Linked DNA regions of Arabidopsis thaliana. The protein of the gene in region 1 purifies or fractionates together with the protein of each later gene. This does not show direct contact. Each region holds a gene or a part of one and is shown in the gene's direction. Other genes may lie near its edges.

The links. Proteins that work in one complex are often made in the same cells at the same time.
Region 2: the proteins of PTAC2 (region 1) and PTAC3 fractionate together in Arabidopsis thaliana (co-fractionation; one large-scale study listed by BioGRID). This does not show direct contact.
Region 3: the proteins of PTAC2 (region 1) and FLN2 fractionate together in Arabidopsis thaliana (co-fractionation; one large-scale study listed by BioGRID). This does not show direct contact.

Annotation. Positions count from the first base shown.
Region 1 is NC_003070.9:28,116,959-28,126,218, reverse strand, and holds PTAC2 (plastid transcriptionally active 2), read left to right. Parts: upstream 1-3,641; 5' UTR 3,642-3,904; coding exon 3,905-5,739; intron 5,740-6,037; coding exon 6,038-6,352; intron 6,353-6,443; coding exon 6,444-6,548; intron 6,549-6,648; coding exon 6,649-6,982; 3' UTR 6,983-7,555; downstream 7,556-9,260. Other genes in the region: AT1G74860 (uncharacterized protein), read right to left, coding at 619-1,629, 2,353-2,529, 2,773-2,787; AT1G74840 (Homeodomain-like superfamily protein), read left to right, coding at 8,902-9,184. UniProt on the Arabidopsis thaliana protein: Involved in plastid gene expression.
Region 2 is NC_003074.8:1,121,171-1,130,882, reverse strand, and holds PTAC3 (plastid transcriptionally active 3), read left to right. Parts: upstream 1-3,301; 5' UTR 3,302-3,367; coding exon 3,368-3,748; intron 3,749-4,001; coding exon 4,002-4,173; intron 4,174-4,286; coding exon 4,287-4,504; intron 4,505-4,615; coding exon 4,616-4,676; intron 4,677-4,773; coding exon 4,774-4,846; intron 4,847-4,927; coding exon 4,928-5,005; intron 5,006-5,111; coding exon 5,112-5,269; intron 5,270-5,482; coding exon 5,483-5,651; intron 5,652-5,823; coding exon 5,824-6,286; intron 6,287-6,375; coding exon 6,376-6,801; intron 6,802-6,908; coding exon 6,909-7,112; intron 7,113-7,198; coding exon 7,199-7,332; intron 7,333-7,456; coding exon 7,457-7,652; 3' UTR 7,653-7,935; downstream 7,936-9,712. Other genes in the region: RR22 (response regulator 22), read left to right, coding at 194-445, 569-745; AT3G04270 (two-component response regulator ARR22-like protein), read left to right, coding at 2,800-2,979; AT3G04250 (F-box associated ubiquitination effector family protein), read right to left, coding at 8,055-8,933.
Region 3 is NC_003070.9:26,012,753-26,020,142, forward strand, and holds FLN2 (fructokinase-like protein), read left to right. Parts: upstream 1-3,271; coding exon 3,272-3,312; intron 3,313-3,560; coding exon 3,561-3,895; intron 3,896-3,977; coding exon 3,978-4,630; intron 4,631-4,710; coding exon 4,711-5,182; intron 5,183-5,269; coding exon 5,270-5,613; downstream 5,614-7,390. Other genes in the region: AT1G69190 (Dihydropterin pyrophosphokinase / Dihydropteroate synthase), read right to left, coding at 379-1,829, 1,954-1,957; AT1G69210 (Uncharacterized protein family UPF0090), read right to left, coding at 5,831-6,130, 6,221-6,329, 6,428-6,603, 6,691-6,761, 7,045-7,306. UniProt on the Arabidopsis thaliana protein: Required for proper chloroplast development, most likely through regulating plastid-encoded polymerase (PEP) dependent chloroplast transcription.

The DNA of each region.
Region 1 (9,260 bases):
TAAACAGAAGATTGAACAAACTCGCATTTATAGATATCGCAATCTCTTGAGTCAAATTATTTATTTGATTAACATTTCCTTATTTAGTCCATGATTCATGGTCGCAAGTCCAAATTTCCATGAATAAACTTTGACCAAGTCACAAAAACTAGTATTTGCTAAAGACTTCTACGTAAGATTATTTACATAGGTACGAAATGGAAGCAATACAATGGTAGCTCTTTAGTCTTACACCATCCAGGTGTAAGTAAGAATTTTAAAGTTTCCACCTATCCTTATATATTAGATGATTATAACCATTTTGCTGGAGCATCCTACTGGTTGATTAGTTCTGCTGCAAATCTTTATTCTACGAGAATGGTACAAGCTGTGCCCATTAAAATACAATAAAGAAACATAGAACATTCAGAATCTTGGACATCATATATATATAAACCCATCACAATGGACAAGAGTTTACACCCAAAACCATAATGCAACAAAAGGGCACTGCTACTGATATCAGTTTTTAGACCATACACTTTCAAGTTTAAAGGCAAGAAGGAAACATAATAAACTTAATATGATATAGCAAATTAGATGTATGTCGATATTTACTAACCTTCCAAGCCACATGTGCTAAGCATAGACTACATCTCTAGATGATTCACTGGTAAAGCTAGGCTTCAGAGACTCCAAGTAACCATCGTCTTTCTCAACAGTCTTCTGTTTCATGTTTCTACTCTCCTCAAACGAGGAATCTCCTTCAAGATTACTTAAGACCTCCTTCTTTCTCTTCCTCTTGAACGTGTACTTGATGCACCGATTTTTACTCAGTGCTAAAACTGGAGTTTCTTCGCACAAAGGAGATGCAGAAACCTCCATATTCTCACAGCTCTCTTTTTCTTCCTTCCTTGCCTCTGTTTCGCTAATCTCCAGCTTTCTGTCATTTTCATGTTCCCTCGGAGGAGATGTTTTCAAGGATATAAGAGTGCCGACATCCTTCTGAGAAGAGTTTGGAGACACTATTGGGGCTTCTCCATCTTTAACAGAAGATATGGAGTCAGTAGCATCAGCACAACCAGACATTTCTAAGCTCTCTACAATTTTACAAGACGAAACTTCGTGAAGACATACTCCATCATTCACATCTCCTACTTCTACAGAGGAAGACAGAACCCCATTGGCCATACTGCTATCTACTGTGTGGATCATCTGAGCTAAACCTTCAGTTTCCCTGCGTTTTGTCAGTATAGATGGAAGAGTGTAGTGACATTGATCCTTGTTATCTTTATAAGAACACCGGTTAATACTATTTATGCGAGTCAAAGACGGTACTTTTATCCCATTAGCCACCACTGATCCATTTTGTTCCACTGGGATGCAAAAACCTACAGCTTCTGTGTTCTCGTGACTGCAAGAAACCTCAGGCATTACAGAAACTGCAGCATCACGGTTATTCCAACAGAGGTTTTCCTCATGATTCTTTTTAAGATGTTTCTGACCATCCGTAAGTTTCTTGAGCTCATCGTGAAGTACTCTCAACTCCAACCTCAGCTCTCCTACAATATCTTCAGCTTCTCCAAGCTGAGCTTCAAGTTCCTCAACCTTCTGTTGCTGCTTCAAGGATTGCATCTCTGTCTCCTTAACCTATAAACACAAATCGGTTTTTTAAAAATTAGAGTTGAGGAGGAAACGCAAAGCCAGCCACAAAAGAAAGATATACTCCATTAGGGAAAGCTCATCCTCAAGCAAACGTGATACAGTCTCTAAGATGAAAAAGCTATATCCCCCACACTGAAAAACCTTTAACTTAAAAATTTCACGATGAAATGAGAATTGAGAGCATAAGCCATGAAATATGTGTAAGCCTCACTGCCAACAATGGTACAACGAATCTAGAACTTGCTGACACTAAGCTACACTTGGTTACGCTCATTAGTTTTAGGCCTTAGGTTTCATGAACAAATATCAATGGAGGAAGAGAAAAGCTATATCTGCAAAGTATCAATGTAATAGTCTCAAGAGTGTCAAAAACAATGGCTTGTATCAACGTTCAATGAAGTGAATGTAGTGAAAAAACATAGCAAAAATGATAGTCTCGAAGCATATCATTTGAATGATGGAAGATTTTAGTCACTTCAAATGTCAAAGACTGAATAAACAAAACTCAGAGTCACACACACACACACAACATTAACAATGCTTAAAACCATGAAAGCAAGGCTGAAAAACTTAATTTCAAAAGCCATCTTCATATGAAGCAAGAAAAAAGAAATGCCTCTAAGACCCCAAAAACATAATCAGGCAGAAACCAAATAAAACAAACCAAGAACCCATAAACAAATGAAAATAAGAACAAAGTGATAGTACCTTGGAATCAAGCATCTGTTTAAGCCTAACCAACGTATGAAGTGCTTCATTTCTAACCGTCACAAGTTCTTGCTGATACCTACGCGCCTTCTTCTCAGAAACCATCACACGTGCCGCCGCTTCCTTCGTCGTGTTCAGTATCGTATCGGCGTAGGCTCTCTTCAACGCCGCTAAGGTCTGTGTTAACCCAAAACAAAACGAACAAAAAATCATCGCAAACCCCGAAAAGAAAAGCAAGACAAAACCCACATCGTGAAACCCAAAATTTAAACAAAATTAGCGAAATCAGCAACAAGATTCTGTCCGATAAGAGAAACAAGGTCTAGAAGAAACAGAACGAAACTAAACGAAGAAAAATCCGAAATCGAAAAAAATGAACTCGTGAGAGGAGGAGATTGAGGGGGTTTAAGGTAATTGTACCTCTGGGTCTGCCATTAGAGCCGATAATGCGATTGCAGAGAAGCGATTGTTGATTTTCCGACCAAGGTCGCGAACTCGCCAAGAAGAAAGAAAAAGCTAAAAAGGTTTTTTTTTTTTTTTTTGTTTCTTTTTGTGTTTCCTTGAAGCGTCTGTCTGTTAGGAACAGAAAGAAGTATAAAGACCTATTTACCCCTAAAAACTCGATGTTATTTCTCAAACGCCACACCACACGTCACGTCAGCTTCAGCATTTCAGACTGCAAACGGCGGTACGGTTTCCCGTTATCTCCGTCACTCTTTTCGTAATCTCTCTTTTGCTTTTTACATTTTTCGGTGATAAATTTACAATTTCAAAATACACTGGACTTTTAATTTTTACCTCATTTAGACAATTAGACCACTAGATTTCGTAGCTTTTACCCCAAACAAAAGACTATATTGTAGCTAGTTCTAATTATTGAATTTTGTATCAACTATTCCAATACGAGACATGATATAATGTTCCATATTTGGTAGATACATTCAAAGAAAAAAAAAATGGTAGACAGCTAAAAAAGAAGCTAGCTCATGGGATTAAACCAAAATTAAGATATCCAAATGATTTTGAAGTTTCGATTGCCTAGAAGATGGATGGACAATTAAACCGACTTATAGAACATTGTCTAGTTTACAACATATATTACCAATGTAATTGTATTCTACTATTTACTAGTGTACACTAATACTACTTTTCTTGCAATTTTAGGCGCCAATTTTTTTTGATCGAAAAATATCGAGTTAACCAATTAAAACCGGGAAGTAATCATTAAACCGGGTAATGACCGGGTGATTACTCGAGACTGTTATCCACAATAAGAATCCACGTGTCTTCTTCAAGCCCCTCCCTCTTCTTCCATTTTTCCGCCATTTCACCTAGAGAGCGAGCTTTTGGGTGAGAAAATCTCTTCTTCTAAACTATTCTACTGCCAATCTTAATTCGTGCGTTTCTGTCTAGAGCTTGGTGGTGACTAGTAACTTAGCCGTTAATCTTAAATCTCTGATTCAATTCAAATCGAATTGCGATTTTCCCGAGAAAATCTCGTTTCACTTGCTGGAGGATTTTTGAATCCTTATGTGAACTCTAGTTACCCAAAATGAACCTAGCAATTCCAAATCCCAACTCACACCACCTCTCCTTCCTCATCCAGAATTCAAGCTTCATCGGAAACCGGAGATTCGCCGACGGCAACCGTCTCCGTTTCCTCTCAGGAGGAAATCGTAAACCATGCTCCTTCTCCGGTAAAATCAAAGCAAAGACTAAAGATCTCGTTCTCGGGAACCCCTCCGTCTCCGTGGAGAAAGGAAAGTACAGCTACGACGTCGAATCGCTGATTAACAAGCTGAGCAGTCTCCCACCACGCGGGAGCATCGCCAGGTGCTTAGACATATTCAAAAACAAGCTTTCGTTGAACGATTTCGCACTCGTGTTCAAAGAGTTCGCTGGTCGCGGCGATTGGCAAAGGTCGCTTCGTCTCTTCAAGTATATGCAACGGCAGATATGGTGCAAACCTAACGAGCATATCTACACTATTATGATCTCTTTGCTTGGTAGAGAAGGTCTACTAGATAAATGTCTTGAGGTATTCGACGAAATGCCTAGCCAAGGTGTGTCCCGCAGCGTTTTCTCTTACACTGCTTTGATCAATGCTTATGGTCGAAATGGACGGTATGAGACTTCTCTTGAGCTTCTTGATAGGATGAAGAATGAAAAGATATCACCTAGTATTTTGACTTACAACACTGTGATTAATGCTTGTGCTAGAGGTGGTTTAGATTGGGAGGGTTTATTGGGTTTGTTTGCAGAGATGAGACATGAGGGGATACAACCTGATATCGTGACTTATAATACACTGCTTAGTGCTTGTGCTATTAGAGGTTTAGGTGATGAGGCTGAAATGGTTTTTAGGACTATGAATGATGGTGGGATTGTTCCGGATTTAACCACATATAGTCATCTAGTTGAGACATTTGGGAAGTTACGCCGGCTGGAGAAAGTATGTGATCTTTTAGGCGAGATGGCCTCCGGCGGTAGTTTGCCGGATATCACTTCTTATAATGTGTTGTTAGAGGCATATGCGAAATCCGGGTCTATTAAGGAGGCAATGGGGGTCTTCCATCAGATGCAAGCTGCAGGGTGTACGCCGAACGCAAATACATACAGTGTTTTGCTGAATTTGTTTGGACAGAGTGGGAGGTATGATGATGTGAGGCAGCTTTTTCTTGAGATGAAATCAAGCAATACGGATCCTGATGCTGCTACATATAACATTTTGATTGAGGTTTTTGGGGAAGGGGGGTATTTTAAGGAGGTGGTAACTTTGTTCCATGATATGGTGGAGGAGAATATTGAACCGGACATGGAGACATATGAGGGTATAATATTTGCTTGTGGGAAGGGGGGACTTCACGAAGATGCTAGGAAGATCTTACAATATATGACAGCTAACGATATCGTGCCAAGTTCCAAGGCGTACACTGGGGTTATTGAAGCGTTTGGGCAGGCTGCTTTATATGAAGAAGCGCTTGTTGCTTTCAACACCATGCATGAAGTAGGAAGCAATCCAAGTATTGAAACATTCCACTCACTGTTATATTCGTTTGCAAGGGGAGGACTGGTCAAGGAGTCTGAGGCGATTTTGTCCAGGTTGGTGGATTCTGGTATTCCCAGGAACAGAGATACGTTCAATGCACAGATAGAAGCGTACAAGCAAGGAGGCAAATTTGAAGAGGCTGTGAAGACATATGTAGATATGGAGAAGTCAAGATGCGATCCTGATGAAAGGACGCTTGAGGCTGTTTTAAGTGTGTATTCTTTTGCGCGGCTTGTTGATGAGTGCAGAGAGCAGTTTGAGGAGATGAAAGCTTCTGATATACTGCCCAGTATCATGTGCTACTGTATGATGCTAGCTGTTTATGGGAAGACGGAGAGGTTAGTGCCTTCGCCAGTAATACACGGTTTCTGATGTTTTCTTTTGCGTGTATTTTTATAGCTCATACCTTACTAAGCATGATGATTTATTCCATCATCATAGCATTTTGCTCTTTCAGTTGCCTTCTGTCTATACATGGTCAGGCATGGGGGAGATATGCTAGTGTAATGTAGCACCCTAGTTAATTTTCTTGCAGCTAACTTGAGTGTTCTGGATAAGCAGTAACTTTAGCCATTGTTTTGTATATAACATCTTAAGATTTTAAGCAACACTTCAAATTTTTTTTTTGGTTTATAGGTGGGACGATGTCAATGAGTTATTGGAGGAGATGCTTTCAAATAGAGTATCAAATATTCATCAAGTTATTGGGCAAATGATCAAGGGAGATTATGATGATGACTCAAATTGGCAGATAGTGGAATACGTGTTGGACAAACTCAATTCAGAAGGATGTGGTTTGGGAATAAGGTTTTACAATGCACTTCTGGATGCTTTGTGGTGGCTGGGCCAGAAAGAGCGAGCTGCAAGAGTACTCAATGAGGCAACAAAGCGTGGACTTTTCCCTGAGTTATTCCGGAAAAACAAACTTGTGTGGTCTGTCGATGTACATAGGTAGCCTAAGATCCCTACACTGGCTTCGTTTCATGTGTATGAAATGGTTGAGTACCAGTCAATCTAATTCTTGGTTTTCAATGTTCTGCAGGATGTCAGAGGGTGGCATGTATACAGCACTATCGGTTTGGCTAAATGATATAAATGATATGCTTTTAAAGGGAGATCTTCCTCAACTAGCTGTTGTTGTTTCAGTGTAAGTATTTTGATACTGGGTACCTACCTCATTGCAAGATGCCTTCAAGCTTTTTATCTTGCCTTTTGCCTTTTTTAATTCTTTCTTTCTAACCTCTCAGACGGGGACAGTTGGAGAAAAGCTCTGCTGCAAGAGAATCTCCTATCGCGAAAGCTGCTTTCTCCTTCTTGCAGGATCATGTCTCGTCCTCATTTTCCTTCACGGGATGGAATGGAGGTCGCATTATGTGCCAGCGATCTCAGCTCAAGCAGTTACTGTCAACGAAAGAGCCAACTTCAGAAGAATCCGAAAATAAAAACCTAGTGGCATTAGCAAACTCGCCAATATTTGCGGCTGGAACAAGAGCTTCAACAAGCAGTGACACGAACCACAGCGGTAACCCTACACAACGAAGAACCAGGACGAAAAAAGAACTAGCAGGGAGCACAGCTTAAGAACTAGACAACGTAGTTTCTGTTGCCAAGTCCAGAAATCAAAGGCCTCTTCTGCCTTCCTCCATATAGACTGGTGGGTGAAAACTGTGGGCGTATTTCACAAGCACTCCATATCCATGATAACTATGCTATGGTTTCAAGCAGTAGAGTCAACCTCTGTTAGACAGAAGAAGCTGGAGAAGAAGATAAATGGTGATCTTAGTTTATATGAAGAAGCGTCTATATGAAAATCTCAAGTAAGTAGCCAACTAAGTGTTTTGATGGATTGTTAGACCCATGATTTTGCAGCCATAGATTTTTTTTCGTTTTTTTTTCCATTCAACTATGTTTTTGATTACTATAAAGCTAAATGCTAATGTAAGATCAAAGCTCTAGTTACAATTAAAGGATCTATTAATCAAGATTCCTCAGGGAAGCTCTAGTTTTTGCTTGTGACCTCACCTGATGAACTCTCTCTGTTTCGAAATCTAACTTATTACATAGCAATGACCCAACTCCACCCAGAATAAAGAAAACAATCTGTTGTGCAAGATTCCTTCTTCGGTCTGATTAATCTTTTTCTCTCTCTCGTCCTCAGATATGTGTTTGTTTTCTGATTTAGGAAAGTCACTACAAGTTTGTCATCCAAATTGGTAATAAAATAAGAAAAAGATTGGAGAAAGAAAGGATCTTCCTATAGTGCTTCACACATTACAACTTTAAGATTCCACTTTGTGTGCGCATAAAAGTAATGGTGGCTTTGCTTTCTAACCGATGCTAGTGCTTTGTGTGATTTTGCTGTCTTCCAAAACTATTTACCAAATTTTGTAAATACTTTTTAGAATCTTTTCCCTACAAATCTAAAATAGATAAATAATAATAGTATGTGATCATATTGCTTACAGTCAAATCACATCCTAACATTCTACTAAAAGACTAAAACTATCACCTTTTTGTTTTTTAATGCTATATAGTTGTGATCAAGTCTGGACATACGATCATGCTGTTTATACTACAATTAGGTCCTTAACAGCGTCTTAAAATTTACTCTTAGCTAGAAAACGACAAATTCGACTACACAATCATTTTTGTTGTTGAATTAGATTCCTGAAATTGTAAGTTTTTGTGTTGAAATTCAAAGTTATAATTTCCAAAAAGGATTCACCTGTCTCCCAAGATTTTTTTCTTAATAATCAACTCATAGATCCACAAGATATAGTATTTTAGAAGAAAAAAAAGTACAAGGATGGAGCTGTAACTAAATAGATTATTAGAGCAGAGTACAGAATCATTTCAGAAGCTGACTATTTTTCTAAGCTCAAGTTGCATGCGCTTAGGCCTTAGAGACATTGCGTTGACCAGTACATTATAACCTGTAGATTTTTATCATAAAAATACATGAGGGTAACGTTAAGAAAAATAAAAGCGTCGATTTCATTTCATTTTTCTCATTCTGTTATTTCATTTTTTTGTATTTAACTTTGAGTTTGCGAAAGTCAATAAATATTTCTTCGTTATACGACCTACATTTTTTGGTCGACATAGCGAAATACTTTTTTAACTTCTTATTATAGGATAACATTTATTTAACTCTTTTTTCGTCATCCTATAAGATTAATTAAACTACTAACAAAAAACCTAATAAATCTAGTCAGCCAATGAATAAAAAAAGTCTATCCAAATGAAAACTCTGTAGAGAGACAGGCAGGTAAGAAAAAAATACAAGAACAGACGAATAAAAACAAAACACGTGTCATATGGTACCGTCACCAACACCTACAACATGTAATAGTTTAAAAAGGAACCACGTGGCTTTTGGCTTATAAAAGGGTCCCCAAAGAAGCTCAGATCTAACTCACACCACTCCATTGCCCATTGCTCTGTGTACTTTGCTTCTTTAGGAGAAAGAAAGCACAAGGGGCAAAATCGGAAAGATTATCATGGCCGACGGTAGTACTAGTTCTTCGGAGTCCACTACCGCCTGCGCTGGAAGCGGCACAAGAAGAGAGATTATGCTGTTCGGAGTCAGGGTTGTGCTTGACCCGATGAGAAAGTGCGTGAGTTTGAACAATCTGTCTGACTATGAACAGACGGCGGAGACTCCAAAGATCGACGGCGAAGATAGAGATGAACAAGATATGAACAAAACCCCGGCCGGTTACGCCTCGGCGGATGAAGCTCTTCCCATGTCTTCTTCTAACGGCAAAATCGAGAGGAAACGAGGTATTACTCTTCGATTGAAACTTTTTTTTATCATTCCATAAATTTGATCACTTTAAACTTAGGGATTTGTTAGATA
Region 2 (9,712 bases), on another chromosome or scaffold:
ATTATACTTATGTAATATATGTGATACAGATACATCTATATACAAATTAAACACGAAACCATACATGCACGGTGTGATCACACACGCACACACATAGAAACATAAACACGCAATAATTTCTATACAGTTTAATTTCATTTTTAACTTACTTCTTTTTTTTTGGTGAAGATTCTTGAGAGAAAAGAAATCGAAGATGGCAACAAAATCCACCGGAGGTACCGAGAAAACCAAGTCGATAGAAGTGAAGAAGAAACTAATCAACGTGTTGATCGTCGATGATGATCCATTAAACCGTAGACTCCACGAGATGATCATCAAAACGATCGGAGGAATTTCTCAGACTGCAAAGAATGGCGAGGAGGCAGTGATCCTCCACCGTGACGGCGAAGCATCTTTCGACCTTATTCTAATGGATAAGGAAATGCCTGAGAGGGATGGAGTTTCGGTACTTAATGATCTTGAATCTTAATCTGCTTACCAAATAGACAATTTAAGTGGGTCGATCATCACTATACTTAAAAACCTCCTCTTTAATATAGTTTTTATGTTCTTTGTTGATTTAATTTAGACAACTAAGAAGCTAAGAGAAATGAAAGTGACGTCAATGATCGTTGGGGTAACGTCAGTAGCTGACCAAGAAGAAGAGCGTAAGGCTTTTATGGAAGCTGGGCTCAACCATTGCTTGGAAAAACCCTTAACCAAGGCCAAGATCTTCCCGCTCATTAGCCACCTCTTCGATGCTTGATGGATGAAGGCTCATTAATGTATCTATATTTTCAATCATGAAATCACCTACACGTGTATTTGACACAAAAATCTGCATTTGTTGTGATATAGGGTTTCTCATATCTATGTTTGATTTATTTTCTTATCGTCCGAGGTAAAATCATGCAAGTCATTTCTTTTGGCTAATAAAATATTAAAATAAGGTTTTCTCTTGTTGAATGAGCTAATTTACTTCATATGGCTCATGCAAATCTCCATATCAGTTAACTTTAAAAAAATTATACATAGTTTCGCGATAAATTCTAAATTTTAAATAACTATCACATTTACTAAAAATAAAATAATGTATGTATGTAAATATGTAATGTAACTGGCTAATTTAATTGAATAATTATAATACTTACAAAAATAATATATATCGCGAATCTGACTATATTTATGTTTTGTTTATCTTATTCAAAAAGATGAAAATATAAACACTTTACTAGCTATATCTATTTTCTTTTCTCTATTTTTCAAAAACATAATTTACATAATATTTCATATTATTTCAATTCCAGTTTACGTTCCATATTTTTAATGTATATATATTTTATTCTTGTTCTTCGCATATATACGTCATATTATTTTGTCCAATACTATATGTCATTAAGAAGATAGGGTACTACTACTGGGTACATCATATCTTACTTTGGATTTGATAAGGTTTGTGTAAATAAGAGTAAATTCTATTTTCAACGGCGTGTATCATCTTAGCCAAATTTGATTAAGCATTGTGTGCTATACACTCAGAAAGTACCTATACTAATGTTGCACTATAAATAATAATTATTACAAATTTTTAATCAAGAAACTAGCTATGGGTCTAAAGATCAGAACATAAAATGTAATTTTTTTTTCTTCTAATTTTGACTTTATAACACAATTTTTTTGGACATCTTTTTATTTATTTATTTAGAAACGTTAAATTTTTATTTGATATCTGTTTTGAATTAAATCAGAAAAAGAACATCAAACAAAAATTTAACGTTTCTGAATTTCTTTGGTTGTGACCACATTTCTTGCAGCCGTATAACTCGTGACTCTAAATCTTAAAAGCTTTGGTTGTGTAAGTGTTTGAAGTGGAGTTATATTCTACACTTTAATTTTGAGTTGTTTTGTTTGAACTCTATATCTGTACTTCACTTTTCAAAGCATCTACTATGTCTCTCTGGAAAGTTCAAATTTGTTATATATAGGCAAACCAATTCTTCACTTGGCTTTTCAGGTGTATTGGTTTGATTCGGAAATGCTTGGGAGGTTGAACCGAAGAACAAAGGATTGATGAGTTCGAATATTTTCTATATATACCATAGCTTTTTGAGATTATGATTTGTTTAGATAAACAAGATCGTGTTGTGTTATTTGTCTCTGCTTCTTTATTTAACATACGTATGGCATCGTAACATCTTCATATGTTTGTAAATACAATTATTTTCACTTTTGTTTTGATATTACTTTCGAAAATATATGAAAGTGTTATCTATAAACTATATCAGGAATCAGTGGTTCAACAATTAATGATATCCAAGAAAAACGCTGTGTATTATAATGTGGATTACGAAAGTTCTGACAAAATTTGTGTGAAATTTTGTATGTCCGCTTTTTCTGTTTTCTTTCTTATGCATTTTCGATCATTTTATCTGAAATGTGTTACAATTAAACTAAATATTCCTCTACTACATAACTCAAGCTCACATTTTTTTTTTTTGTTACTTCGGCGCAAAGTCTTCAAACACTAATTAACAAGATTTCCCGTGTGGATGCTTAGCATTTTTCTCCACCCTAACTAAGATGGAAAAATTACTCATACCAGTAAACGAAACTATTCGTAAAAACTGATTTCCTTTTTGTAAGTGTAGAACAAATAATTTTTTTCACCGACAACTTCCATTTTTTTACTATCTCTAAAATTTTCAACACGTATTCCAAGTATTTCCTTTTATTTTGAGTAATACTCTTGTTTCCAAAAATAAGAGTTAACATGATTAGCTTATATACTTGATCTTTTGGGTTCTTGTTGTGATTATATGAATGATGAAGACAAAGAAGAAAGAATCGAGAGGAGAAATTGGGAAGAACATGTCGTTGATATATAAGAAGAAACTAACGGTGTTGGTCGTTGACGATGATCCATCTTGTCGTACACTCCACATGGGAATCATTCAAATGGCTGGAGGATTCCCTTACATGGTGAAAAACGGCGAGAAATAAGAAGCTACGTGACATGAATGTGACGTCAATGATCGTGGGGATGACGTCACATGAGGACGAGACTAGGGCATTCATGGAAGCTGGAGTTGACCACTGCTTGTCAAAGCCCTTAACCTTTGGAAAGATCGCATCCATCATTGACCATCTCAAAACCGCATAATCTACCGATTAACAAAATATTACTTGGTTTAGTTCGGTTATGTGACTACTGATATAAATCTTGTTCAATGCAATTTGGTCTAGTTCGGTTCTGTCTGGTTCAATCCAATTAACTCACGTGATCTGCACATGATCATCGTCTACATTTTAATTAAATAAAAATCTAAATTTCAAATCACTTTATCCATTCCCCAGTAAAAAAAAAGTTTCAGACTTTGGCAAAAAAAAAATGTCACTCTTGTTCCTCAATCCTCCGTTTCCCTCCAATTCAATCCACCCAATTCCTCGTCGTGCCGCCGGAATATCCTCCATTCGATGCTCAATTTCTGCACCGGAGAAGAAACCGAGGAGGAGGAGGAAGCAGAAGCGCGGCGACGGAGCTGAGAATGACGACTCTTTGTCTTTCGGAAGTGGTGAAGCTGTCTCCGCTCTGGAGAGGAGTCTCCGCCTCACTTTTATGGACGAGCTTATGGAACGAGCTAGAAATCGAGATACTTCAGGTGTTTCTGAGGTTATCTATGACATGATTGCTGCTGGGCTTAGCCCTGGACCTCGTTCTTTCCATGGTTTGGTTGTAGCTCACGCGCTTAACGGCGACGAACAAGGCGCGGTATATGCTTCTCTCTATAGCTTAAATTAAAGACGTAGACTTTATGTTTTTAAGAAATCATACAATGCTGGAGCTTAAACTAAATCGAATTTGAATTGTTGTGCTTTATAGAACTTGAGTTATGGTTTAAGACTTTACAAATTTTTTGTATCAAAATTAGAACTTTACTCTTTCTCATAGCTTATTGAGTGTGTTTGAACTGAAAGATTGCTTCTTTTTTTTTTGCTTGGTGTGTGTTTGTGTGTGATTGCAGATGCACTCGCTGAGAAAGGAGCTAGGTGCAGGCCAACGTCCGCTTCCTGAGACTATGATTGCTTTGGTTCGTCTCTCTGGTTCGAAAGGGAATGCTACGAGAGGCCTAGAAATCCTCGCCGCTATGGAAAAGCTTAAGTATGACATTCGTCAAGCTTGGCTCATTCTTGTTGGTATTCTCTCTTACTACTAAGACTATGTGTTAGAATCAAATGGTTGTTGCTTGTGTCTACCAGGATTGAGGTTACTGAGTAATCGTTTATAATTTGATTGTGGTCTTTTATAGAGGAGCTCATGAGGATCAATCACTTGGAAGATGCGAATAAAGTTTTCTTGAAGGGTGCAAGAGGTGGGATGAGAGCAACAGATCAGCTTTATGATTTGATGATTGAAGAAGATTGCAAAGCTGGAGATCATTCTAATGCCTTAGACATCTCTTACGAAATGGAGGCAGCTGGTAGAATGGCCACAACATTTCATTTCAACTGTCTTCTTAGTGTGCAGGTTTGTTATGTTTTTTTTTAGAACGTATACACACACTTCTTCTTTGTATAATGAAGATGGTAAGTCTTTTTGTTGACATCAACTACATTTTTCTTTGCTTCCGTTGTGTAGGCTACATGTGGGATTCCCGAGGTAGCTTATGCTACATTCGAAAATATGGAGTACGGTGAAGGTTGTATGTTTTTCTTAGCTAATTTCCGCTTCAATTGTTTGGTTTAGTTGTTGCCTGATGGCTTTTGACATGGCTTGATGTAATCTTGATTTGGTAGTATTTATGAAGCCTGACACTGAGACATATAACTGGGTGATTCAAGCCTACACTAGAGCCGAGTCATATGATAGGTAATTCTTATGAGTTTTTGATTGCACACATTTCTCTTAGAAGTGGACAAATTTTCAGGTAGCCTGTTGCATGAATCACAGGGTTCAGGATGTTGCTGAATTACTTGGAATGATGGTTGAGGACCACAAACGTGTGCAGCCAAATGTGAAGACTTATGCGTAAGAGAATCATTATTTCTGTATTGTACTCATTTCTACCAACTTTGCATTTCTACCTGTTCTATTGTAAAAATCCTAATATGATCTGTATGATGATCCATTTCAGGCTCTTAGTTGAGTGCTTCACCAAATATTGTGTCGTGAAGGAAGCGATTAGACATTTTCGTGCTCTTAAAAACTTTGAAGGAGGAACAGTAATTTTACACAATGCAGGGAATTTTGAGGATCCTCTCTCTTTGTATCTCAGGGCTTTGTGTCGAGAAGGTATGCATACACTTGTACCTGTGTCAATATAATATGCAGAGGCATATGTTGAACACCTTCTGGGAGATCATGAGAACTTATGATTAAAACGATTTATGATTATGGTTCTCTATTTCCCTTATTTCTGTTTTTATACTTAAGCGTTATATTTGTTGATTTTTAGGACATGCTAAATTTACTGTCTTTAAACGGTACCCTCTACCTTTGAACCAGGAAGAATTGTTGAGCTTATTGATGCTTTAGATGCAATGCGCAAAGATAACCAACCTATACCTCCAAGAGCCATGATTATGAGCAGAAAGTATCGAACACTAGTCAGCTCATGGATTGAACCATTGCAAGAAGAAGCTGAACTTGGCTATGAGATTGATTATTTAGCGAGGTAAAAACTTGAGTTCTGCGTGGTTTGACTGGAATTTTGTTGATCAGATTCTATCCTCCCATTTACAAGTTATACGCTAATGCTCTGTTCTAATTGTCAGAAAGGAAGTATAGTGTCTTTTTTTACATGTTGTCTTGATATACTAAGATTCGCATTCTGTAAACATTTTCAGGTACATAGAGGAAGGGGGACTTACTGGTGAACGCAAGCGTTGGGTACCTCGAAGAGGGAAAACTCCTTTAGATCCCGATGCTTCTGGTTTTATATACTCAAACCCTATTGAAACATCCTTTAAACAGAGATGCCTTGAAGATTGGAAAGTTCACCATAGGAAGCTCTTGAGAACCTTACAGAGTGAAGGTCTTCCAGTTCTAGGAGATGCATCAGAATCTGATTACATGAGAGTGGTGGAGAGATTACGGAACATAATAAAAGGTCCTGCACTGAATCTTTTGAAGCCGAAAGCAGCAAGCAAGATGGTTGTATCAGAGTTAAAGGAAGAACTCGAAGCTCAGGGTTTGCCAATTGATGGAACAAGAAATGTGCTTTACCAGCGTGTCCAAAAAGCAAGGAGAATAAACAAATCTCGAGGTCGACCTCTTTGGGTTCCTCCAATTGAAGAAGAAGAGGAGGAGGTAAATTTATGCTTATGCTCTTTCTTTCATTCGGGTAAACATGCATCTTTAGTACTTGTTACATCTAAAAAAGTTTGTTTTTGATATAGGTCGATGAAGAAGTAGACGATTTAATATGTCGAATCAAGCTACATGAAGGAGACACAGAGTTCTGGAAACGTCGGTTTCTTGGAGAAGGCTTGATTGAAACTTCAGTTGAATCCAAGGAAACGACTGAATCAGTGGTTACAGGTGAATCGGAGAAAGCGATTGAAGATATTTCAAAAGAAGCTGACAATGAGGAGGATGATGATGAGGAGGAACAAGAAGGAGATGAGGATGATGATGAAAATGAAGAGGAAGAAGTGGTTGTTCCAGAAACTGAGAATCGAGCAGAAGGAGAAGATTTAGTGAAGAATAAGGCAGCTGACGCGAAGAAGCATCTTCAAATGATTGGAGTCCAACTCTTGAAAGAATCCGATGAAGCAAACAGAACAAAGAAACGTGGGAAGAGGGCATCTCGTATGACACTTGAGGTTAGTACGTATAACACACTATGATATGGTTATGATTTAAGTAGACACATGATTATGAATTTGATAGTTTAAGCATGTTTTCACAATGCCGATTACCTCCATATCAGGATGATGCAGATGAGGATTGGTTCCCTGAGGAACCATTTGAAGCATTCAAAGAAATGAGGGAAAGAAAAGTGTTCGATGTGGCTGACATGTATACAATAGCAGACGTTTGGGGTTGGACATGGGAGAAGGATTTTAAGAACAAAACTCCAAGGAAATGGTCACAAGAGTGGGAAGTCGAGTTGGCAATTGTGCTCATGACAAAGGCAGGAGTTCCTTCAAGCCTCTAAAGCATTATTACACAAATTGTTTTATGATCCTTCATGTTAATAATAATGATAAATTTGTGTAGGTGATTGAATTGGGTGGAATTCCAACGATTGGTGATTGTGCAGTGATATTACGAGCTGCTTTAAGAGCTCCCATGCCTTCAGCCTTCTTGAAGATCTTGCAGACGACACACAGTCTTGGCTACTCATTTGGCAGGTAACTCAGTTACAACCTCTCTTTGGGTTTAGTCTGTTAGAGAAGCTAGTCTAAGGCGTTCGATATGACTAAACTTGACTATAAACAATGACATTTGAATACACGTGGTAAAAATCTGTTGCAGCCCGTTGTACGATGAGATCATCACATTGTGTTTGGACCTTGGAGAACTTGATGCAGCCATCGCCATAGTTGCAGATATGGAAACCACAGGGATCACTGTCCCTGATCAAACCCTTGACAAGGTCATATCTGCTAGACAATCTAATGAGAGTCCGCGGTCTGAGCCTGAAGAGCCAGCATCAACAGTAAGCTCTTAGTTATCATATCCTCTTCTGCTTGTTGTGAAGTCTCTATAAGAAACAGAAATCGGTAGAAGGAGCTGAATCTGTCTTAGTTATGAAAGTTTTGTTCATTATAAGTACAAGTCATGTAGTTCCGAGTGTAGAACAGTTTTTACTAGTGTTGCACCAGGTCCCTCCAGTCTGATACTTAATTCTTTAGTGTTGGATCTTTCTATATAAGAAACGCAAATAGCAAGACGCAGCTGAATTGGTCTTACTAACAAACGTTTTGTTCACGAAAAAGATAGGAAGAAACAAATGAACGATAGTAACAAAAGTTAGAAAATCCTCATCATATTGCATAAGATAGGAAGAAACAAAATAAGGATAGTAATCTTATTCAATGAGAAAAAGAGTGAGTAAACGAAGGAGGCTAAATTAGGCTTTAAAATTCGTTTGCTTCTTCAGACCCTCGAGGACTCGTTTTTTCCATTTATTATCCTCCTGCTTGGTTCGCTTTATAAAGGCGGCAACTCTCAACATGTTTTGGTCATATCGACGCTGTTCTAGAATGGGTTTTCGTTTCCTTTTGCCTCCCGGAGGTTGTTTGATTTGCATTGAATTTGGAACGTAAGGGCACAAATGTGGCCTACACTTTATGCCGGCTACATGTACTCGGAGATCCAATTCTCTAAAATATCCAGTTTTTCCAATGATGTTGACTCTGTGGTGATCAAAAACCATGGAGACTTTCTTCTCCTCGTCAATGAAGAAACTCCCATGTATATATGCAATCGGCATGTCAGCCAATGGTCCTGTATCCATTTCCAAGATCTTGCTCCACGACACTTTATCATACTCGATCTTAGTCGTGATCCATATCTCAAACTCATATGGATTCCAGTCGTTGTGCGTAAGTAAAGCCGCAAGCTTCTCTTCTCTAACACAAGATAAAGTCACATAGTCATCATGGCCAGCGCTAAACGGTAGACGCAAAAGTGGCCCAAATCTCTCACTTGTGAAATCAAAACAGATTATGTGATCGTCGATTTTGTTTATTGCGTTACTTTTTGTAGCACAAAAGTAGGTATTTCCCTTGAGAGAAACACCACGCTGATAACACGATACTATCCAATATGGAGGGACATCAAGAGTTGTCCATAAATCGGTTTCAATATCGTAGATTTCATACCATGAAAACCGGTTTTCGGGTGCGTGGTTCACGGCCGAAGAGATGTAATGATCTATAAACCTCAAGACTTTGTGGCTACGACAAGAGTTGTTCTTGTTCACGTACCCTAGAGCGTACCTGTACATGTCCATATCCTGTTCTACGCGGTGCTGCTTCTTTACTAATGTGCAGCTTCATAAAGCTCTGACTTTGGGATAAAGCGTACAACGTTTTGCAAGTTAATTTCAATGTCCTCATATACTTCATGGGAAGTCTAGATACAATATCCTCTATCAAATCCCTTGGAAGATTTAAGATCATCGTTGTCGTTTTCTCAAGTTGCAACAAGGTTTTTTTTTTTTTAACCTTAAAAAAGTGTTCTTCTTTTCCTCTGATTTTTTTCCCGCAGAAGACTATACATAGGAATTTGAAGTTGGGCCCAATCGTGGGCTTCAGAATCTTCTCTTGTTTTCTTTTTGGTAATCACATTCATAACATCCAAGTTCTTTACCAACAATGACCATTTGTATGGGGAGAGCATCAAGTTTGTATGAAGCTGGGCTAACTATGGGCTTATTGGAATTTAAAACAGTATCTTAAATTCCATCTTTAATTGAAACATTTGATAAGTGGAAGCTGCCAAAACACGCGTCCATCTTTAATTAAAATCAAATGTGAATTGTTTTCATTTTTGTGACATTTAATATTTACTTCTAGAAAAAGAAGATCAAGTAAACATGCAGTTAAGTTCAAATAAGATTAGAATTGTGATACCCTTGAATTCGATTTAGTATGCAATTTTTTTGTATTTAAAGAAAATATATTGGAGTAGACAAAGAGAGGAAGATATTGTAAATTTTTTGTTATTTTCTTTTCTCAATATATTTAAGGTAATTAATCAGGATTACGTTTTATTGTTGGCACA
Region 3 (7,390 bases), 2.1 Mb from region 1:
TCATAAATTTGATTATGCCCAAAATACTCAAATGTTGTTAATACCGATATGACAGGTAAAATGAAATCTAAAAATATCACAAATGAGTACTTTTTATGTGTACTTTGTGAGTTAAGTCCCAATACGAAAATGAATCATAATGTACAGTATCGGGCTTTTTATGACAAGAGATCCTACTAAACTCTTGTGGGCTGAATACAAAGGCTAGCAAATAAGACTTAAAAGAAACTTTACAACTGCGAATAGACAAAGGGATTTTAAAACTGCCAATAAACTTTATAAAATGAACTAAATTCTTCTGAATTTCATACGGAAAAACAAAATAAACTTATTTTTAACACATCTCAAGTCTTAAAACCATACAACAAATCATATCAACTAATCAACATTTTTGAACCTTTTCGTCATCATTGCATCGCATAGCCTTGCCGCGTCTACATTATCTCTAACATTATGAACTCTAATGATATTAGCACCTTTTAGTATCCCAGCAGTAACACAAGCAACAGTTGCAGCATCTCTTTCACTTGCCTCAGGACGACCACAAATATCTCCCAAAAATCTCTTCCTTGAAGGTCCTATAAGTATAGGTGCATGAGACAATCCTATACTCTTCTTAGCCATCTCTTCCCTGATTTTTGGTAGCTCCATGACAATATCTAAATTATGATCTATTCCCTTAGAAAATCCAATTCCTGGATCAATCATAATCCTCCAAGCTGGAATCCCAGAGAGTTCTGCTTCTCTTACTCTCTCATAAAGCTCTGTGGCAACATCTTTGCATATTTCATTATACTCCAAATTCTCTTTGTTTTGCATTGTACATGGATCTCCTCTCATGTGCATGATCATATAAGGAACATCAGAATCCGCAACAACCTTATGCATGTTCTCGTCTAAACTTCCTCCGGATACATCATTCAAAATGTCAGCTCCATTTCTTATTGCTTCTAAAGCAACCTCAGAGTTAAAAGTGTCCACTGATATGAGCTTTCCCTTCATCTCTGCCATACCGCGAACAACTTTTAAAACCGGAATCAGTCTATCTATCTCTTCTTGACTAGATATTCTTGAGGCCATCGGCCGTGTTGACTGTGCACCGATATCAATAATATCTACACCTTCAGATATCATAGACCGGACCCGAGAAACCGCGGTATCTACCGATTGAAACTTACCTCCATCACTAAAGCTATCAGGAGTAAGATTAAGTATACCCATCACATAAGTTTTCTTAGAAAAATCCCATAAATGATCTCCTATTGGTATAACCCTTTGTATAATACCGTCTTTTCCAAGCAATGACTCACCACCTAACCGCTCCCACGCTTGGAAAATTCCACCTGAATGCATTGAGAGTGAATGCCAATATGCAACTATTTTATCATTATCAATATCTTCCGTTCCAAGCAAATCTACCAAAGGTGCTAAAACAAATGGTCTTTCCCAGATTCTCTCATGGGGAATGATAAGTTTATCAGAAATTATCTTGTGCTTTCCATAGAACAATATGTCCAAGTCAAGTGGTCTTGGTCCATACCTTAAACCATTTTCTTCACGACCCATCTCTTTCTCAATTTTCTTGAGAACGTTCAAGAGTTCATGAGGTTTGAGCTTTGTGACACCTCTTATTGCAGCGTTGAGAAATCTTGGTTGGTCGGTCACATGAACAGGTTCTGTTTCGTACAAACAACTGTGTCTGGTTACACTGATCCCATAGTCTTTCATCAATCGTAAAGCTTCTTTGAAATTATTCATTCTGTTTCCAACATTGCTTCCCAAAGCTATCACGACTTCTTCGAAAGTTGTTGTTTCCAAAGATGTGAAATCTGAGTCATATACAAAACATGTTTCGAAGGTGAAATATGATTCAATACTTAACAGAAATTAGTGTATCAAAACGTAAACGCTGTTTTTTTCAACGAAAATGAAACGGATGAAAAAGATACGAACCCATTTTAGAATAGGTTCCTCCAAAATATCAGTATTGTCTGCTTCGATCTGACCTTAAAGTATACAAAACTATGAGTTTAGTCTTAGATAACAACGAAACAATTATTAGAAACACAAAAAATGGGTTCTAATATTTTAAGAACCAAGGAAGTAAACAATACTTATGTATGAGAGAGGCAAGGTGGTAGCCAATTTTCACCTACTTTTTTTCTGAACTTGTTGTGTTATCCAAGTACCTTCTGTCTTTCACGCTCGTCAAAAGTCAGCTTCTCTTTTGAATTAGATATGAAGATCTAGAAAAGAAAAGAAAAAAGAGAAGAAAACTTTGTTTTTAGAGAGATTTTGAAATTGGTAATGAATCTCTCATAATTTTGAAATTGGTAGTGAATCTCTCATAATTCTTTTCATTATCTATTCTATCTTTTACCATTTAAACATATATTTGGATAGATGATGGAAAATTGTGTGTTAGTCTCCAGCTATTTCATTCCATTTTTAAAAAATATCAAAATTTTCATAGATTTGTTCTGACTACATCAATTTTCTTTCATTCCACTCAAGGCACTCATGGTTACATTACCAATAGAAATTAATTAACCATACAAAATTCTAATTATTATAACTCCAGACGATATTATTTTCACTATATAGCAAAAAATAGCCGTTTTACCATAACATATATACAGTCTATATTTTTTGACGAAAAATAAATAAATATACAGTATATATATATATATATATCCTCGTGTTAGAATTGTATTAAGTTTTTCATCACACCATCTTTAGGCATTATTTCTATGCCAATCAAATCATTTACTCGTAAATCATCATAGTAATTATGATTTCAGTTAATCGTAAGTTTTTTGTAGCTTTGTGATGATGAGCCAATTAACTTCACAACAAAATATTTTCCTTGAAGTAGTTTTTTAATAGCAAACGATTTCACGAAAAACTTTACATAACAAATATTTCTACCTACATTAAAAGAATGTCATATAGACAATACTAAATTCACTAGCTTTAAAGAAGAAAAATGAGCCGTAAATAAATTATAGTAGACAGAATAGGGACATCTTGACGTTTTAGTATTTTGATCATAGAATGCTTGCCGTTTCGTTAAAGCGCTAAACCTCCTCCTCATCCTCTCCCAGCTAGCTCCTCTTGCGGTTTCAGAGCTTAAACCCCAATCTCCCTCAAAACTCATAAACATATTGCTCTCCTTTGTTCATTTCTGGGTTTACGCTTCTTTCGACTTTATGGGTTTCGGAGCTTAGTTTTACTACAATTTCGTTTGGAAAAGAGCTCTTATTTGATGTTCATGGCGTCTCTCTCCTTCACCCAATTCTTATCATTCCCCAGGTCCCTTTGCTTCTCTCTCTCTCTTGTTTTCTAACCTTAGGAAATTTTAGTATATGGGTTTCTATGGATTTGGCGTAGAACCAGTTTACTGCCCAAAAATGTGCGAACTTTAAGTTTAGCTCATCTTATCTTTCTACAGAAGAATGGAGTAACAATGATTTGAATTGAGGGCTATATTTGTCTTTCTGTTTGAAAATTTCACATTTTGATGTAATGGTTTTCTCATAGCTGTGCTTTGATTTTGGCAGATGCAATGCAGATGTTCCTTGTCTGCTCCAGTCGCATGGTTTTGTGAAGTTTAGAGGTGAAAGATGGAATGGGAAACAAAGCTTTTCTATGGCTGCTGGTAGGAGAAAGTTATCAGAGTCAGCACCTCTTGAAGAAGAAGGTAATGATGGAAACGGTGCGGTTGTGGGAAAGAAACCATCTAAAAGTGTTAAGAGAACAACGAAGAAGAAGGTTGTGGTTAAGGATGAACCATTAGAAGAAATTTCTGAATTTTTGGTTGATAATGATGATGTTTTAGACAAGGAAAGCATTGTCTCAGCTTTGAAACCAAAAAAGACAAGAACTAGAAAGAAAGGTAATGACTTTTACCATTTCTGAGCTGATGGTTCTCACTTGATGATTCACGAGTACTTAATTTGAATTCGACATATATACAGCTGCAGCAGCTTCTTCTGATGTGGAGGAAGTAAAAACCGAGAAGAAAGTGAGACGAAAGAGGACTGTTAAGAAAGATAAAGATGTGGAGGATGATTTAGCTACTATTATGGATGCTGAGGTTAGTGATGTCGAGGAAGCATTGGCTGTTGAAAGCACTGATACAGAGAGTGAAGAAGAAGAGATTGATCTGAGTAAACATGAAGGTGAAGATATTAGTCACACTTATGGATGGCCTCCTCTCGTGTGTTGCTTTGGATCTGCACAACATGCTTTTGTGCCTTCGGGAAGGCCAGCAAACAGGCTATTAGATTATGAACTACACGAACGGATGAGAGATGCAAAGTGGGCTCCAGAGAAGTATATCCGGGCTCCTGGAGGATGTGCAGGAGGTGTTGCTATTGCTCTTGCAAGCTTGGGTGGTAAGGTTGCTTTTATGGGCAAACTTGGGGCTGATGACTATGGTCAAGCCATGTTGTATTATCTGAATGTGTGCAAAGTCCAAACTAGATCAGTTAAGATTGATGGTAAAAGGGTTACGGCGTGTTCTACTATGAAGATCAGCAAGAGAGGTCGCTTGAAATCGACTTGTATTAAGCCATGTGCAGAGGATTCACTTTCAAAATCTGAAATCAACGTTGATGTGCTCAAAGAGGTAATATATTGTCCTGGAGATTTGGAACATTGAGTTTTTGGCTCTTTTTCTTGTTCACCAATCTCTTAACTTTGGTGCAGGCGAAAATGTTCTACTTCAGCACGCATTCTCTACTCGATAAGAAGATGATGTCAACTACGATACAAGCCATCAAGATATCAAAGCAACTAGGCAATGTCATTTTTTATGACTTGAATCTCCCTTTACCACTATGGCACTCCAGCGAAGAAACCAAGTCTTTCATACAGGAAGTGTGGAATCTTGCAGACGTCATTGAAATCACAAAACAGGAACTTGAATTCTTATGCGGAATCGAGCCTACTGAAGAGTTCGATACAGAAAACAATGACATCAGTAAGTTTGTCCATTACCCGCCAGAAACTGTGGAACAGCTTTGGCATGAAAATCTCAAGGTCTTGTTTGTGACCAATGGCACTTCTAAGATCCATTACTATACCAAAGAGCACAATGGTGCTGTTTCCGGAATGGAGGATGTTCCCATTACTCCTTTTACAAGGGATATGTCAGCATCTGGAGATGGCATCGTTGCAGGTACATTTTCACTTGTGTCATTTGTTTTTCATAGCAATTTGGAAGTTATGCTTGCGATTAACTGAACCACACTACTCTCTATTTCAGGTCTAATAAGAATGCTTACGGTTCAGCCAGATCTTATGAACAATAAAGGGTACCTGGAACGCACAGCGAGATATGCAATTGAGTGTGGTATTATTGATCAATGGTTGCTGGCACAAACCCGAGGATATCCTCCAAAGGATGACATGGAAGAAGAAGAAGATGATGAAGAAGAAGATGAAGTGGAATCAGATCCAAACGGTATAAGATCGATAACAGAGAAGGAATACAGAACCTCAAAGCCTTATGATGAACCAGATGGTCCATACGTTATGAAACCAGTAGAGGAAAGGGAGTACAAGAAGTTAGAGCTTGTTGGCTCAATGTTTGAAGATGGTAGTTTATGATTTTCATAAGATTTGATAATGTTTCTGTTAGTCAGCTTTTTTTTCCTGTTCACATCTTACAACATCTTAGTAGTGTGAATTTTTGTCATATGTTTTGATATCTCACTCACCATCTCAACTAATACAAAATCACTTGAAATTATCCGGAAACAGCAATGTGAAACTGCAGTGACGATGAACTTACTTTAATAGCAACTCTACTTCTACGTCTACTTAACTAATCCAAGTAGAGATTTATCTTCTTGTGATCTGCGAAAGGCAGTGTGATTCTCAAGTCCTTTTGTTTCCGGCTTAACGGTCTGCCTTTGCTTTCGGGATCTCTGTTCTCCCTTACATCTGCTAATTTCCAGACACAGTTATCTGATTCTGCATCTATAGACTCCAAGAGGAACACTCCACTCTTTACTGCTTTCCTCGAGTTTGTTTCTTCTACATAGCTTACTGTCATTGGCATATCCTTGAATCGGGGCAAGTCCTCTGGGACTCTCAGTAGCCTCTCCGCTCCTGGAGATGACACCTACACAGAAAAAAAAAAAACGGAAACAAAATTTTGTAACAAAACTGAACCAAGTGAGAGTTGATTCACTGGGGAAAGACTCTTTTTGACCTCAAGGGCTAGATCCTCTGGGATTACTTTTTCAGCCCCAGCATCATCTAGTCTTTTCTTAAATTCTCGACTAAATTCCTCAAGCTCATCCATGGTAGGACATCCATATCTTTTTTGTACAATAAAAAAGAAGAAGCTTTCGTTAATTCTCAAAACATACTGCTCTTTTGCAATGGTTTGATGATATAGAAGGGTGAAGAATCTTACTCAGTGGAGAGTTTGTCTAGTCTGACGTATATATATCCACGCGGTGAAGTTTTGAAAGCAAACAATTCCAAGTCTTTCTCAGACTGCTTCAAAACTTGTGCAGCTATAGAGAGAACTCTTTCACCCCATGCTACACCTTTAAGAACAATTCCACCACCATCTCCTCCATCACCAAGCTGTAAAACAGAAGAAAGATTAGCTTATAAGAATCTAAGAAACAGAGTGGCGATTTTGACGTGAAAATGTAGTAGAAAGAGATATACCTGTGATTCAACATCCTCATCTTCGTCTTCTTCCCAATCTTCTATGACCTCAACATCATCAGTTGCTTTATCTGCCAATTTGATTGGAAGCAATGTTTTATGAGACCAATTAGTATCTTATGACCTTTATGAAATACCAGATTCTAAGGACAAGAAAAAGCATTAAAATCATAAGGTCAAGGAAGCGAGAGAGCAAGCAACATTGAGAAGATACATTTTTTAGGCAGGAGACATTTTAACAAACACCTTAAAGACAAGAAAAAGGCAAACACACAGAAAGACCGTAAACAAATCCTAAAACCCAGAAAACAGAGAGGCAGTCAAAGAAAACAAGGTTTATTTATTTTATCTTACATTCAAAAGTGTCTTCTTCGTCGCCATTACTACCGGCGGTTTTTGGCGGTCGAGCTGAAGGAGAAGGAGAAGAAGACGAAGAAGAAAACGTAGAGATCGAAGAAGAGAAAGGAAAATAGCGAGGAAGAGTAAGACGTGTCGTCGTCTTTGGAAGTAGTAAGGAAGAAGAAAAAGTTCTAACGGAGATACAAGTCGCCGGTTTGGTAAAACGGCGAGAAGCTCGGAACAAAGCAGCTACAAAGAGATTTTGGTATCTCGCCATGCTTTTTCGAATTTCCCACAGAGACACGACTTGTAATAGTATTTATTATTAAACCTAAGGGGATACTATTTATACGAGTGTTAC